2 linked regions of the Lytechinus pictus genome follow. The protein of the gene in region 1 purifies or fractionates together with the protein of each later gene. This does not show direct contact. Links are inferred from orthologs where the notes say so. Each region holds a gene or a part of one and is shown on either strand. Other genes may lie near its edges.

Evidence for each region.
Region 2: the proteins of cyclin-F-like (region 1) and cell division control protein 6 homolog purify together in Homo sapiens (affinity purification with western blotting; 4 studies listed by BioGRID and IntAct, with this or other methods). This does not show direct contact. The link is inferred for Lytechinus pictus from reciprocal best matches to the Homo sapiens genes CCNF and CDC6.

The regions. Positions count from the first base shown.
Region 1 is NC_087254.1:27,029,986-27,037,669, reverse strand, and holds the start of cyclin-F-like, read left to right. Parts: upstream 1-4,533; 5' UTR 4,534-4,607; coding exon of another isoform or gene 4,608-4,673; 5' UTR 4,674-5,113; coding exon 5,114-5,120; intron 5,121-6,660; coding exon 6,661-6,872; intron 6,873-7,362; coding exon 7,363-7,472; intron 7,473-7,684. Other genes in the region: protein HID1-like, read right to left, coding at 286-312, 1,167-1,328, 2,611-2,760, 4,608-4,673. UniProt on the Homo sapiens protein: Substrate recognition component of a SCF (SKP1-CUL1-F-box protein) E3 ubiquitin-protein ligase complex which mediates the ubiquitination and subsequent proteasomal degradation of target proteins.
Region 2 is NC_087245.1:25,571,216-25,579,232, forward strand, and holds the start of cell division control protein 6 homolog, read right to left. Parts: upstream 3,127-8,017; 5' UTR 2,776-3,126; coding exon 2,773-2,775; intron 1-2,772. UniProt on the Homo sapiens protein: Involved in the initiation of DNA replication. Also participates in checkpoint controls that ensure DNA replication is completed before mitosis is initiated.

The DNA of each region.
Region 1 (7,684 bases):
GAATCAATAAGTCCACTCTTCAAACAGTGGACTCATGAATAAAATAGCGTAATTAATCATGAGAACAGGCGGCGTTTTGGTGCACTGTGACAAAAGCATGCATCAGCAAAGGACAAATTTTAACATACGCGGTAAATAATTGTAATTCATACAGAAAATCTGCATAAGTCATGGGTTCAACAGATGGTTTCAAAAACCACCTTTGTGAATTTGGGCCTACATGAAATTGTCTGAAGCAAACCTACAAGTTAGTAGAGGAAGGGAAAGAGCACACAGCAAACTTACAAAGTCATCCACCCCATCCATGTTTGCCTAATCACCAGAAAGAAAAAAAAGTACCATGAAGAAAACAAAAGAAGATAGTATTAAGATTAAAGTCAATGAAACCATTCTTAGCATATTGAAAAAATGCCATGCTTACATACCAGAGTGGAGTCAAATTTAATAAGATACATGTATGTAAGATGAAGCAAAGTATACTTTCACATTTTGAAGGAAGAAGATGGGATAATATTTACATTTCAATATTAGGAAGTCCATCCAAAATGAAACCAATATAGTCACACAAAAGAAAAGATATAGAATATCAAAATGAAATAAGATGTACACTGTACATTTCTGACTTAAGCATGATTGTCATTAGAATACTAAAGGTTGCCGTTTTACAAAAAGGAAAGCAAAACATTCATGTTTTCTTCATATGAAATTAAAAAATGTATCAATTGGCATGCTTGGAAGTTGCAGTTTCAAGCGATTTAATCTGAATTGTCACTGATTTCATATTTTCTTATAATTGGATTTCGTTTTTTTTTGCAATAGTACATGCAGCATGTTTTTTATAGTACCATGCCATTGCTTCATGAGATTTGCAAGGAGACAGAATTTTCATTTGACATCATTGACATGTAATAAAGAAAGCAGTTTTTTTTCCTTTAGAGGGAAGAATAATAAAGGAAACATGCCATGCACCTCTTTAGTTGACATATTTTTTTTACAAAGGCCTTCTAGAAATCCCACAGCATTCGTTTCTTAGCAATACATCTGACACTCTGTAAATTGCCCATTTGGAATAATAAGAATCAATCAAATATCTTGAACCTAATTGCTGGTCAGCTTCCTGTACCAGAAAGTTGATTAGGCACAGCTCGATATGAAAAAAAACTCACTGATTGGCCAGGCAAGGTAGACCAGAAGAATCCCCTCCAATCAGGATCCTCAAAGATATACGGCAGGATGCGGGTGAGGAGGCGGGCTGCATTGAGTACCACCTGCTGGTCTCTAGGGGCGGAGCATCCAGACTCTGCAGCTGATACTAGCTTCTCGACAGCCTACAATAGAAATGGAAAATCAATGAAAAATGATTCAGTGCTTCCAAACCAACTTGATCAGTCCTGTATTTATGCACTTTTATACAGGCCTAAGAATACCTAATAAACTTGTTCACACCCAACTGAACTTTCAGATAATGTTCCAATTCGTTATGAGCAAGCAAGTCTATTGCATTCCTATACAAAGTACATATAACTAAGCCTGTAGGCCTATCTTGTCTCACATTTGAAGAACTTATCATTTGCTTTTACACTGCAAAAGAACTCTACACCTTGGAGAATTCCTAAGAAAGGTCTTGTAATTTTAACAAGTTCCTCCAAAGATATTTTCTTTCAGAGATATTACAAGTAATTTGCTTCACATTGGCAAAATAACTGGTATTATCTGATGGGTAGCATTACAAATGAACTGGTGAGTAGAGAACCTCATATTAATTTCCATTTTACCCAGACATACATGTAGTTACTAACAATATAATCACTAATTCAGTGTTGTTCTTCAGGGTATTTTATACAGGAACCTCTGGTCATCTCATCGCTTGTCTAGAACTTGATACATTTATTGTTCTTTGTTTTGTGTCGCTATATTCAAAGTGAAAATAGTTCCGTTGGTTTAATACAATCACAAGGCCCCTATTTAGAATTTCTTTATTAATCTTATCCAATATTATCAATCAAATGATTGTCGGATTGTGTTTTCAACTGTCAAAGTTATATGTTTCGACATTCTATTGAAAATGAAAACTTTTGGTGTACATATTAAAGCAAGTGTGGAAATGTCTACACTGCGGTTTACTGTTTTATCAGATGTAACCATACAGTGTTAATTATGGTTTAATCCGGGGGCCTCATTTGCCCCATTGGGTATGTTAAGTTCATAGGCTTCCAGTAAAAAAAAAAGAGGGAAAGCGGTAAATATTAAAACAGTACTCATTTGCACAATAATTCCTTACAAAAGTAAACTAATATAGAGATTAATCACACTACTCGGTGGATACAGTACTCGCCTATATAAAGTCATGATGCTACTTTCTAAATGCTGATTTTTGACTTTCTGATAGGTTTGTACTCCTCCTGGCCATGTGCATTGGGCCATGATATATTGTTTATGCTTGTGATATGTGCTATTAAAGGAACTGTCTCAAATACCACACAAACACCGATCCCTTCGACACTGGTAAATTTAAGCAGTGAGCTAAAAACTAAGTGGGGGCCTTATTTACCCCGAGGCCTTAATCAACACTCTCCCCTATTTGTTCAGAGACTAAGCTCAGAGATATACCTTGTAGCAGAGAGTGGCCAGATTAGATGGTGATTCCTCTCTGAGTGCTCTTATCTCAGCAGCTGGGATGAGTGCAAAGACATCGGTCACGCTGGTAACGCTGTCGGCCCAAAACTGGTCCCAGAAGGCATCATCTCCTGCCTCGACAGGCTGTCATATAATAGGAACAAAGCAAACATGGAGGACTAGAGAAAAATTCATAATCATGATTTAATTTTTTTTACAAAAAAATTGTAATTTACATTATTAATAAGCATGCTACGATTTTCACATTAAAAAAAATGAGAATGGATTCTTTGAAGGGCTGCACGATCATGATATTCCATATAAGCCTCAGACAACACATTTCCTTTATTAGGGTACATGATGTCAGAGCTAGTATAATGATGCATAAAACTAAGAACGGCGCATATATATCTCTGTGCACAAGATAAGATATCGAGATAAAAGGTATTCTGAAAATTCTTTTATCTTTGCTTTCTGTTAACTTCCTTGGAAAATACAATAAAATTTCGAGAGGTAGCCTGGGGCTTTTGTAACTCAATGCTGCATGCCATATTTCTCAGTCAACAATTTTTTTTTTGCTGCATCACACAAGAACATCTTGTTTTCCAAAATGAAACATTCTGAAGATATTACAGAGACCGATTGGCAGACTTTGCAGCAATTTAAAGATCTCATTCGAGATGATGAATCTTTTCAAAGTAAATATGCCTGGGAGAACAACCACATGTAACCAGACTATCTAAAGTGACGAGGGGCAAATAAGCTACAAGTTTACGTCTCTACATCCAACTTCCAAGTAAATCCAAATAAGTAAGTAAATGTATCTTAGCACAGTAGCGCACAAGCACAAGCGTCAGAGGCATAAGGGAAATTACGCCTCAGCCCTCATCATGTCAATAATGGGCTAGCCTAAACTTAAGAGTTTTTACAGAAGAGACGCTTCTATTGGTTGAACCCAAGCATAAAACAACATGATTTATTGGTTGACTTGATGATGAGATATTGCGCGTGTCGGAGATGAAATAGGGGACACGTCCTTAAAGAGATGAGTTTTTAAGATAATTTTCAGAATACAGATTAAAGATAATTTTTGCGAACTGTTAATGTGCTGAGTTACATTACAAGAAAATTTACATGAATACCACCCCATTACAAGAAAAGTTACATAAATACCACCCCAGGATTACAATTTTTGGCAGTCAACGTGATCTAGTAAATTAACTTAACCTTGCTTAAGGCCAAGGAACATTTAATGACATGCAACGTTAACTTAGATCTAACATTAGATCTAACCTTAGGCCTAACTAAGTCATTAATCAACCACATTTTGAATTAAATTCTGGAATGAAAAGAAATTCATGTTTAAAATTACATTTATTTAAAAAAAGTTAAATGTTATTTAGTGCACAGTGACACTCACAGACATCCCCCTCCCCCTTCATTCTGAGCTGAGTTTCGCTTCATAATGTTTTAATGAATGACATCCAACCTTAAATATCTTTAACAATTTAATTCTAAGTTACTAAGTTAGACCTCCGTCAGATGTGCAATATTTAATACGCTTCGACGTGGCGCGGCGTAGCACTTTTTTCATAGTACAAGTAGGATGGGGGGTCGGGTGTCCGGACACTTTATTATATTTTTGAAGCCTTCTTTTTTTGTCTTTGGATTACACTAAAAATATGAATTCAATAGTTAAAAATAAGTTATATTATTATTAATTATTATAATCATCTTCGATTTTGTTCTCTCTAATATTTCCTAACATTTTCTACTAAAAATTGATGAAACTTCGCTTGTAAATTTTTCCAAAAGACTTTCTAAAATTGATCGTCCGGACACACAACAACTGGGTATTATTACTAGTACTAGTAGTAGCTCTCTACCAGCTGTGAGCTCGTGAGTTGTCCATGATTAACATGTGCAGTGAAGTGCATGCATGTCGAGCTCGAGTGTTGTTGTAATTTTTGTATTGGCCGATTCTCGTTTACCTGTGTTTTTGTTGTCAACTGTACGACTGCTTTCCTAAAATTCAGCTTGGAGTCTGTCCCTCCCATCTCGATTGTCACAAATCTTGCTTCTCACGATTGCATCAATTAATGGAATAACATTTACTTGTACAAGTATTATTTCGATTCTTTCTCGATTTCGACGTAGCAGAAATCAACGTAGCTAGCTAGCTTAGCACGAAAACATATACGATGACGTCACGTAGTCGTAAATGTGAAAGGTCATTCGTTTCCGTTGACCTCATTAGTGGGCGGATACTTCTAACCGAGCGCAAAATCTTTCAGCCAATCATGAGCTACGACGCTCATAACGGACGTAAACACAAACGGCTGGCATGTGTATTTTCAATGCAAGCCAACGCGCTAAACTTGAATGAATGAATGATGCATCCGCTCAACTGTGCCTGATGCGATATGTGTAAATATTCGTACAAATTATACTTATAGTCCTTTTCTTTTCCTGAGTGCAGTACTTTGTCTTCTAAAAGATGAGGGGTAAGATAAACACACATTCTTTTTTTATATATGATTTGAAGTTGAATGTTTTATTTCAAGATTTGTTGAAATATTCTAACTTTTATAGTCAAAACTCTTATTTTAAATTGAAAGCCTCTTGATGCAGTCGTTGGTGGGAGGGCACGCCGAAGCTTCTGGCTGAGCGTTGAGCCGTTGACCGTTAATTCGTAGGCTAGTGTTGCGGTCGTCCATCCATATCCGCTGACAGCCGTCCAGGCTCATTTTTTTTTTGGTTTCGTTGTTTGTGTTGCCTGACGTGGCAACATGCACACCCCTCCCTACTAAGTAAAGAAACGATTTATGATGGGGGACCCAAAGCTAGCCAAGCCCAAGGGCAAAGCAAAGGCGATTTATCTTATTCTTAAGACAAGATCTGACTTAATGACAAAGACAAATTTGAATTCAGAATCTGATGGTGTTGATCTCAGAATCTCAGAAAGGGGTAATCCAGACATCGCTTCATTAGCAATAGCAGGTATCATCTAGTAGTATTGTCTAGGTGTGATGTCGCTTCAGTGCATGTGCAATTTACTCTGGTGAATGTCACTGAATGACACCTTTCGACTCGTTTCGAGGTATTTATTTGAAGGACTGTAGCTGTGTGAAGTGAAGTTGAGGTTTTTTATCCCCAGGACCAGGTAGCCAGGAGGCTCCTAGTCTAGAGAGTAAAAATCATTTACTAACGTACATGTTTACTCTACACAGAGCCAGGGATTTGATTGCATTCATCTGCACGTACCGCCAAAAAACCTCAAACTTTCGCCCCCGAGATTTCTACTTTTAAAAGATCTAGCCCTAATTAAATCATGTATATGGGATTCAATTTCATTTCCAATATTTCTACGATATTGATTTCATTTTTAAACAAGAATTCATTCTAAAAACGAGAAAAATGTTATGAAAAGACGGGGAAAAGTTGCCACCGTGTTTACGTCGCCATCTTGATTTCATTGTCTTTCGCTTGGCGACAGCAGGCAAACCGCGCATTAGCGTGCTGTCGCCAAGCGATGGGTCATGTTTATGGAGTAGAAGATAAGTCAAGTACCGGTAATCTTTTTTTTAATTTCAAATTATTCTAGTGAAATATATTAGGGGCGATTACATGTACCTCCATGAGTCTTCACATTTTCCAATGAATCAGTGACCAACATTCCATGTCAAATTCTTGAAATTACTGTCTTGTCACTGACATTGTCAGGATTTTCACCCGCCTGGACATAACAACTGCTTTGGTCAGCAGGCAGGACTAGGTCTGGGACTTGGATGTACTGTAGGTAGTGGATATTCAGTGAGAGCTTGAGTTGAATAAAGAACTTATTTCTTGGGCAAAGATTTCCTTGTTGAGAGACCCCTTTTCCATACAACGGCATTACTCTTTATAAGTACATGTATAATGATGTATTGACTTATCGTGATGAGTAATCTGTACTAGAATTTATTGATTTCATAATCAAATCCATGCATTGTAGCTGTTTTATAGCACATGAATAATCTTCTTCTTTTTTAATGTAATTTGTAGATACTTGTAGCCGTACATGTACCTTGCCTGCAAGGTCATCATCTGAAATGGCAAAACAGTCACCATCATCATCAAGGTCAACCAGTCTCCATGTACGGGTTCTCAGGAGCAACAGTAAGCTGCCAAAAACCATGCTCATCGATCTCCCAGATGAACTCCTCATTTATCTACTGAAATTCTTACCAATGTGTGATCTCCAGAATATGTATAGAGTAAGTATCGATTAGGATTATCTGATTTTCAGATTGTTTATTTTCCAATCTCTTTGAAAGAAAACTGCCTTCTTTTCTCTTCTGTTTTCTTGTCATGTACTTGGGACATGGGAGAGGGTGAAAAATACTGGTACCTTTTTTTAAATACAAATACAAATGTATTTCTATGTGATCAGGTTCGAGTGTCATAAAAATACTGGAAAAGTTACTTGTGACTTTTGGCTTGAGCAGGCAATCCAAATACGCTATTTAAACATTATGATTTTGTATAATTTAATACTTATGATCTGTTGGACCCATTATTAATTAGAATAATGCAGTCTCACCAATCAGACCACAGATTCTTAACAGTGAATCATTTTAGTGTTTTAAAGTATTTTGTATGATAATCTGCCAATCAGTTTTTTTTTTCATTCTTGCTCTAAAAATAAGTGCAAAATATGGTAACTGACACAATTAATTTTAAAACGTTTATTGTTGACAATTACAGATAAACAAACAATTCAAATGGCTGCTAGACTCTACCCCAAGGATATGGGCCAATGCAAGTGTAGTCGGAAGGTGGCCAACCAACTCAACTGAAATGGAATGCTTCAACAGGTAGGAATTTTGACTTACAGTCAGGCCTGTGTACAGTGTATCACAGTATACTGATCTCACAATGTTATGGGCCAAGGAATGCAAAGCTTGAGAAATTATCATATATATGTAGTTGATTTTTATAATTGATTGCATAATCATCAAAGCATTGTGAGTTTCATTCAAATGACTACTGATTCTAGTGACTAATCGATTTAATCATTACAAAAATC
Region 2 (8,017 bases), on another chromosome or scaffold:
CGCTAGACCAGTTGAAGCAGGATTTAGCATGAGGTAAGATTCACGATATTTATCGGCCGATGCAAGTATTTTTTTATCTCATGATATTGTTGGCCTCCATACGCGGCTTGTAGCTAGGCTACGATAACAAAGATGGCAAGATGGCGACTATAACAGACTGAGTAATGCTTCTCTACTTTTAATATTTTCATTCATTGCATGTTTTATAATATTATCTATAAAAAAGGGTCCAAATGATATTGTAGCCCATTAACATAAGTTTGGGCTCAAAACCCTAAAGAAAATGTGTGTTTCTGAGCAACTTTATTGTTGGCAAAATACTTGGTGCGTGTAGACAGGGCTCCACACTAACCCTCTTTTTCTACTGGTCCAACCTGTTCTTTTCGGACCAGTAGATACCCAGTTTTTCCATTTTTTACTGGTCCAAACCTAAAATTCACTGGTCCCCAAAATAAAGAAAAACATGAATAAATTCAAATAAAGACTTGTTTATTTTGCTGTCTTTTATTGCCTCCCCCCCCCAATTTTTTTTTTTACTAACAAACAGTGCACACATACACACACAGAATATAATTCATGCGAACCATTTCACAGTTTTAGAAAGACACTTTAAAGATGCCAAAGCCATTTATATTATTTACTAAAGAGGAGAAAATATCATTTATATTAGTTTGATATATATTTTACTGGTCATGTCAGACCAGTAAATCTGGCTATTTCTGAAAAGTTACTGGCCCGACAGCAATTTTTACTGGTCTGGGACCGTCGGACCAGTGCCAGTGTTGAGCGCTGGTGTAGTGCAATGGCATCCCGTCCCTGGCTCCGTGAAGATTAAGCATGTCAGTGATTAGACCAAAAGCTTCAGTCTCTGTATTTTGGTTGTTCCGCTGAACTACGTTGGCTTCACTCACCAATACATAGACTGAAGAGTTGTTGGCCCGTACGTATAGACAGTGGTATACTCATGATACTGAACTAACATTTTATAGGTCGCGATTTGAAACTGTTTTTAAGCGAAATTTACAGTTTCATGGTTTCCCTTGGACCGGAGTTATTGAAAAAAAAATCCTTTGGATGATTGAGAAATCTTTCATCTTAGACATTTTCACCTACGCTGATGATTTTTCTTGCAAGTTGCCATCTTGAATGACGTCACTATCCTTATAACTTTTTAATGTCTTGATATATCTAATGTCGTCTGCTACCTGTGATTGTAGCGGTTTGGCTCGCATATGGAGCAGATCGTATAATATCGAAAGCAATATCGATATCACATTCGTAAATTGTTGACGCCCTCTCCGTTCGTTAATTAATATTTCATATTTTGGCTGCCATTTTGGGGGTGATTCTCGAGACCAAGACAAGTAAACATCGGTAACGTACTATTTCCACACCTTTTAATCTTTTTTTTTTCATATGTCTTGATTCTTTAGATATTCAAGACATTATTTAGGTAGTTTCTAAATCCTTAGACTGTAAATTAGATTTTAGTCTAGACAGTACTAATCCTAGTCTTGAGGACTCCATGATGATTTTTTTAAAAATATTTTGACTTATACTCCTTCATCATAGAGTCTTGACACTCTTCCCATAGACGCATAAGAGACTGACCAAAACAAATAATTATTAATTATTTATAATCACGTATTAAATTTTAATATTTGTTAAATAATAAATTTTATCTAGGCCTATAAATTGTTCTTCAAAACGGAATTTTGTAACATCGCTAATCGTAGCTACGTCATAACGAAGCGGTTCAAGGGTGAGACCTACATGTATTGTATTTGCTTTGTTGACAAATGGATCGAGGGATCTACACGAGATTGGTCGGGTAAGAAACCTTCAATTTTTAACATTTTTATTAACCAATTTTTTAAACCTTCATACGCATTAGGCATAGGAAGGTGTAAAAATAAATAAAATCACCACCATTTACGTGATTTTTATCTTAAAAGATGGATTTCCTAGGGAAATCCATCTTTGTTTTGGTCAGTCTCTTATGCGTCTATGGGAAGAGTGTCAAGACTCCATGATGAAGAAGTATATGTCAAAATATATAAAAAAACATCATCATGGAGTCCTCAAGACTAACTAATCCCCCGAAGTGGGCGACGTGATAACACATGTGAGCTCACACTAACGAACTACCTTCGGTGAATGGGGATTATACATGTATGTAGTAAAATGACAGAAATTGTTGAATAAATCCCCATAAACGACGGTCATTCCTGTCTAGTCAGTGATATGACATTAATCTCCAGGAGCCTCCTGACTAAGCCTAAGTCGGATGGGAGTCTTCCTTCTGTTAAGGAGGAAGACCGAGAAAAATCATAACATGTTTATAAAACTCCTCCGACAATAGATTTTCCAGGCAGTTATTTTATGTTATGTTAGGCCTATATGGTTAGTTGGTGAAATTGCAGTTTGAAATGCAAGAATAAGGTATAGGCTCTATCGCTAATCAGATTCGCAATGCATCATGGGATCGCAAAGGGGGCCGTTGCGCACGCGCACTAGCGGACAGTCCGCAGAACTAGCTTACGGCCCCATTTGCAAACCCCGCAATCCGCATTGCGAATCTAATTAGCGATGCCGATACTTAGGATCTATTTAATCATCTAGGCCTAGCCTAGATCTATTATATTTTCATAAAATGGAAATCCACTTGTAAGCAAAAAAATTTAAAAAATGTTAAATGACTCAATAAGGTTTATCAAACAAGATTAAAAACCTGAAAAACATAATAACTGTGAGAATAGAACTTTCTCTTGCCATATCACGATATCACACACACACCGGCCGGCCTCTGGTCGACGTGAAGTCTCGACGGGCGCAGACCCACTCCATCCGAGGGAAGCATCGCTTCGTCAAGTTACATGTAGCTAACATAACAACAGTCGACAACAGTTGTTAGACAGGGCAAACTTGGGTACCGTACTCATTTGAGATTTTCACATTTCAGCTAATTTACTTGATAAAAGTGGCATGCAATAATACTACTACCAGTACTCACTTTTGAAAGAAAAAAAAAGAGTCCTCAGTTTGCGTAAAACACAATTCCAGAATAATTTTGCTTGACAGCAGCAACAACAAGCTTTCCACCCTCGGCTTCCGCTAAGTACGTGTAACTTGCATTGGCTTCCAATTCCCGCGAAATCGAGTTCCGCGCGAAATAGTCAGCTGATTGATCTAGCGTCCCCAAACGAGTCATCTGATTGGTCGGTCCAACAACCCATAGCATGCACCTCTTGTATTGCATATTGCAGTACCTTTAAGGACGTTCCACAGTTATGTTTGTGTGCATTATGATCTGCGCATACTTTACACTCTGCGCGCTGACGTCACAATGGATGAACAGGTGATTAATTAGCTCTGGGTATGAGCTGATTTTTCTCATCATCTGCACTCTAACTGCAGATCCGATGCATTATCTTATGAAGCTAAAAAATTGAATTATTCCATGGACCATTTTAAAAATCATCTCTACAATTTCAAAATACTTTACTCTGCAGTGCTGCCAAGAATCACGAATTAGTCCCCGAGTTTGAATAAATGGTAGAGTGGTTTTGATTTTTTCTTCACATAGATACAAAGCATTCGGCACATTTTTTGTGTTTAATAAAGCACATTTCCAAAAAAAAAATGCTGATAGTTTAAAAACAAGCACATGAACCCCCATTTTTTAATGTTTATACCTCTTAGGTATACCTTCCTCTACAACTTTGCAAATATTGGTGAAAATGACATGGATTTTGAATAAAGTGCAGCATTTATTGTACTTTTGTAGTATGTTATTGAAATTTCACATTTCTTTAGATTGGGTTTTTGTTATCTTTTACGCCATTTTAAGAACTGACAGTGCTGTTAGACTTAAAACTGCAAACAAATAGCACTATAAATAGATTCTCCATTCTAACGATACAATTATTAACTCTCTTGCGAAATTTGATGACTTTTTCATGTATTTTGACTGAGTAATACAGGTTTAAACTCATTGTAGTAATCTTGCGAGGTCTAAAAATGCCAAATTCTTTTGAATGCGCAATTCTTAACAACATCAATTTGGGTGAACTTTGAAGCTCTATAGCAAAAAATCAAGCACATGGACCTATGTTAATTTTTGCATATTTCGAATATTAAGGTTCTAAAGTATCTATGTGCAAAGTTTGATGAAAATGACATGGATTTCACTTTAACTGTGGAACGTCCTTAAACAAACTGAGTGTGCGTAGTAGACGGGGTAATAGATACATGATATTTTAAAATGTCTGCATATCAGGGTATATCATAAAACAGAGACCTTCTGTGCATTACAAAAATATTATTTCAAATATGCGATATGGCAAGTTATATGGGCACTGTTTGAGGCTAACGTTACTTCTCAGAATAATTGATATATTTTAGGGAAAACTATATTACAGTCTCATTTTTTTTTTTTTTTTTTTTTTTTTGGGGGGGGGGGTATTTTTTCAATTACAAGACCACACATCTCTACCATCAATCAGTAGACACAGTTACTGTTACCAATCAGAACTTCCTCTTTGAATATTGCTACTTGGCCTTCATAGTGTGCCTGTGCGTATAAAATCAGTAGATATATGTCAGGCCCCCTCCCCCTACATGTTATGTATGTACATGTATATTCATATATTGTCCTTATCAGGAAATTTAATACCAAAATGCTCGTTCATTGAACGAAATGACACTGATTTTTTTCTCTTATTATAACAATGTTATTCTTATTATTTTCTTTGTTGTTCAAGGGCAAACTTACAGTCTCATTTTGTGGTATTTCTTGGTAAAATATAGTTTCATAGCTCAAGTCTTATCTCACAGGGGCGGCGATTCGCCTGCATGGGGGCTCAGTGCCCCCACTCTTCGAAGCACTGAAAAGGTGCCGTTTTTTTACGCAAGAAAAATGCCCCCCCCCCCCATGAACGTGTAGTAATGAAATAAAATGAAAATCCATAACGTAACTGTGCCCCTTTCAGAAGAGGAGCCGTTTTATGCGTTTCCAAGTGCCATATCTCGTATCGGTGCCCCCTTTTACCCAAGTAGAGTGCCCCTCACGAACGTGCTCTGTATGCCCCTTTCACCTAAGGATCCGTTTTATGTCTGAGCAAGCAGTGTGTATTTGAGTTTTGTCAGACGTGTATCAATCAGATATGATTATTTACGTCTGGGACCGACCTTTAACGTCACCATCCGAAAGACGTGACCAGGGCTCGAACCTCGAACCTCTGCATCAATTTGTAACTTCCCCCACATAGCTTGGATACAGGCGCACGCCACAACGCCCAGTTGTGCTCTCAGTGCCTTCTTTTAAGTGCCCTTTCTCGAATCAGTGCCCCTTTTTAAAGAAAAGTGCCCCTCATGAACATGTGCCCCTTTCGCCTCAGTGGCGTAGCTACGGGGGGGGGGGGCCTGGGGGGGGGGCACGTGCCCCCCCCCCCTGAGATTTGGTGTGCCCCCCCAGAAAAAATTGGCAGAGCAAAAAAAAAAAAGGAAAGAAAAAAGGGAGAAGAAACGAAAAAAAGAAAAAGGAAAAGAAGAAGAAAGACAGAAGAAAAAAAGAAGAAGAAAATAAGAGGAGGAAGACGAGTGAATGAAATAATGTAATTAAAAAAACAAATCTTTTATGTTACTAAATAAAAATTTTGCTGGCGCTTCGCGCCAAAATTGCCTGTTCAATGAGATTCATATCTTGCTCAATAGGCTGATATGGAGCAAGTTTTGAAGTCAATATGCAAAACATATTTTAGTTCGATATCGAGCTTTCATAATTTTTTTTTCATTTACAAATTTAAGTGCTCTGTAAAATGTCCGTTTTATGGTCTACATATATCAGCATTTTAAGCTCACGCTGCGTGGTCACATTGTTTGATTTGCAAAGTTCATATTGTCTACGTGTATTCCATAACGTTCCATTAAACAAATGTATTCAGAATGCCCAGATTCTAGGTCTACATCTACAACACGCGCGATAGCCTGCATGTTCTTTATTTAAAATGTACATGTACTTGAATTATCCAGTTTCACATCAGAATATCAATAATTGTCTTTGTTTTAAGATAATGGCCGTGCGTAGCGGGGGGGGGGGTGGGGGTTAGGGGCAGTTGCCCCCCTTCCGAAATTTAGAAAACTCAATTTTTTTACTGCAGATTTTCACAAAACCAAAAGTATGCACAAACTCCATCAATTTCACTTAACAAAATGCAAAAGCGCCTTATTAAGCTCCCTCGCTTTCGATTAAAAAAAATTGTGCACACAGCCATGTTCAAGATAGTGCCCTTTTGAAAGAAAAGATGCCTTTGTTCTATGTGCCCCCCTCCCCAATTTCAACTTCGCTCCGCCGCCCCTGTTATCTTACATTACTGCTATTATGTTTTACCGTAATATCTTAAATTTATATTGTAATTGTTAATGTAATTTCTTGATTATTTTTGTTGATTTCGTTATTGTTTTAATGCAACATCTATAAATTCAGCTTTTCAAGCTGCGATTACACGTCATGTTCAACATGTTCGTTCAACAAATCTTAAATCTTGAATTAGTTTTATTTTTTTCAACAGGTATTATGTGATCTGTAATTATTGGTGAAAATCAATAAAATACAAATAAAAAAGAAAGAAAAATCCGAATTGATTATTGAAATGTGATTGTTTAAAAACTGACATTCCTAAAGGCTGGATGATATTTGTAACAGAATGGGGAGCAATGATTCTGCCCAAAATGTCCTTTCCTAATTCGGTATTATTACGCTTAGTTATAGACATGATTATTAGATTCTCTTTTTGTCTATAAGAACAAAGGGCCCTGGGAAAGATTTTTAAATAGAGGGTGTTGAAATTTGTTCAGGGGATTGTCGTTAGAAAAATAATTGTATAGCACAAAAAAAAAGAGAAAATGAATAGAAAAAACTCTCCGTGTCATTCGGGAGCAATATAAAATTTTTTCATTTTTTTGTGTTTTTTTGTTGCTTGTAAACCTCATTTTCCAGGAGAGGATGCGGCCTGGTAAATAACATACACGACACACCGAACCCCCGCTTCCCAGGGCCTTGTCGGAACACTAAGCAACACTGAGACTTAATTAGATTGTTTACTTTGCTCACACTGTTTTTCAGAAAGTGTAAAATTCATTAAAGGAGAATGAAACCCTTGAAACCAACTGAATCCATATCAAAGAGAAAAATCAAAGAAACATATTGTTGAAAGTTTGAGGAAGATTGAATGAATAATAAGAAAGTTATGAGCATTCGAATATTGAGATCACTAGTGCCATGTAGATCCTCCCAACGGCAATGCGACCAAGATCTGTGATATCACACACGTACAACTCCCTCATTACTTTAGTACTTATTTCACTTATATTCTCACTTTTATAGAGTCTACCACAAGGTGAGGTGTTCCCTTTATGAGATGACAAGTACAGAGGTTTCACAACATTATATCATTGATGAATCGTTTGTCATATGATTAGAATGAGCAAAAAGAGATGTTTTGGGGTATATTTTCAGTGTCCAAATGGGAGAGTTGTACGTGTGTGACATCACAGATCTTGGTCGCATTGCCAATGGGAGGATCTCCATAGCATTAGTGATCTCGACATTCAAATGCTCATAACTCTTTTATTGCTAGTCCTATTTTACTCAAAGTTTTGTTGATCTAAATTCATTAAAGGAGAATGAAACCCTTGAAACCAACTGAATCCATATCAAAGAGAAAAATCAAAGAAACATATTGTTGAAAGTTTGAGGAAGATTGAATGAATAATAAGAAAGTTATGAGCATTCGAATATTGAGATCACTAGTGCCATGTAGATCCTCCCATCGGCAATGCGACCAAGATCTGTGATATCACACACGTACAACTCCCTCATTACTTTAGTACTTATTTCACTTATATTCTCACTTTTATAGAGTCTACCACAAGGTGAGGTGTTCCCTTTATGAGATGACAAGTACAGAGGTTTCACAACATTATATCATTGATGAATCGTTTGTCATATGATTAG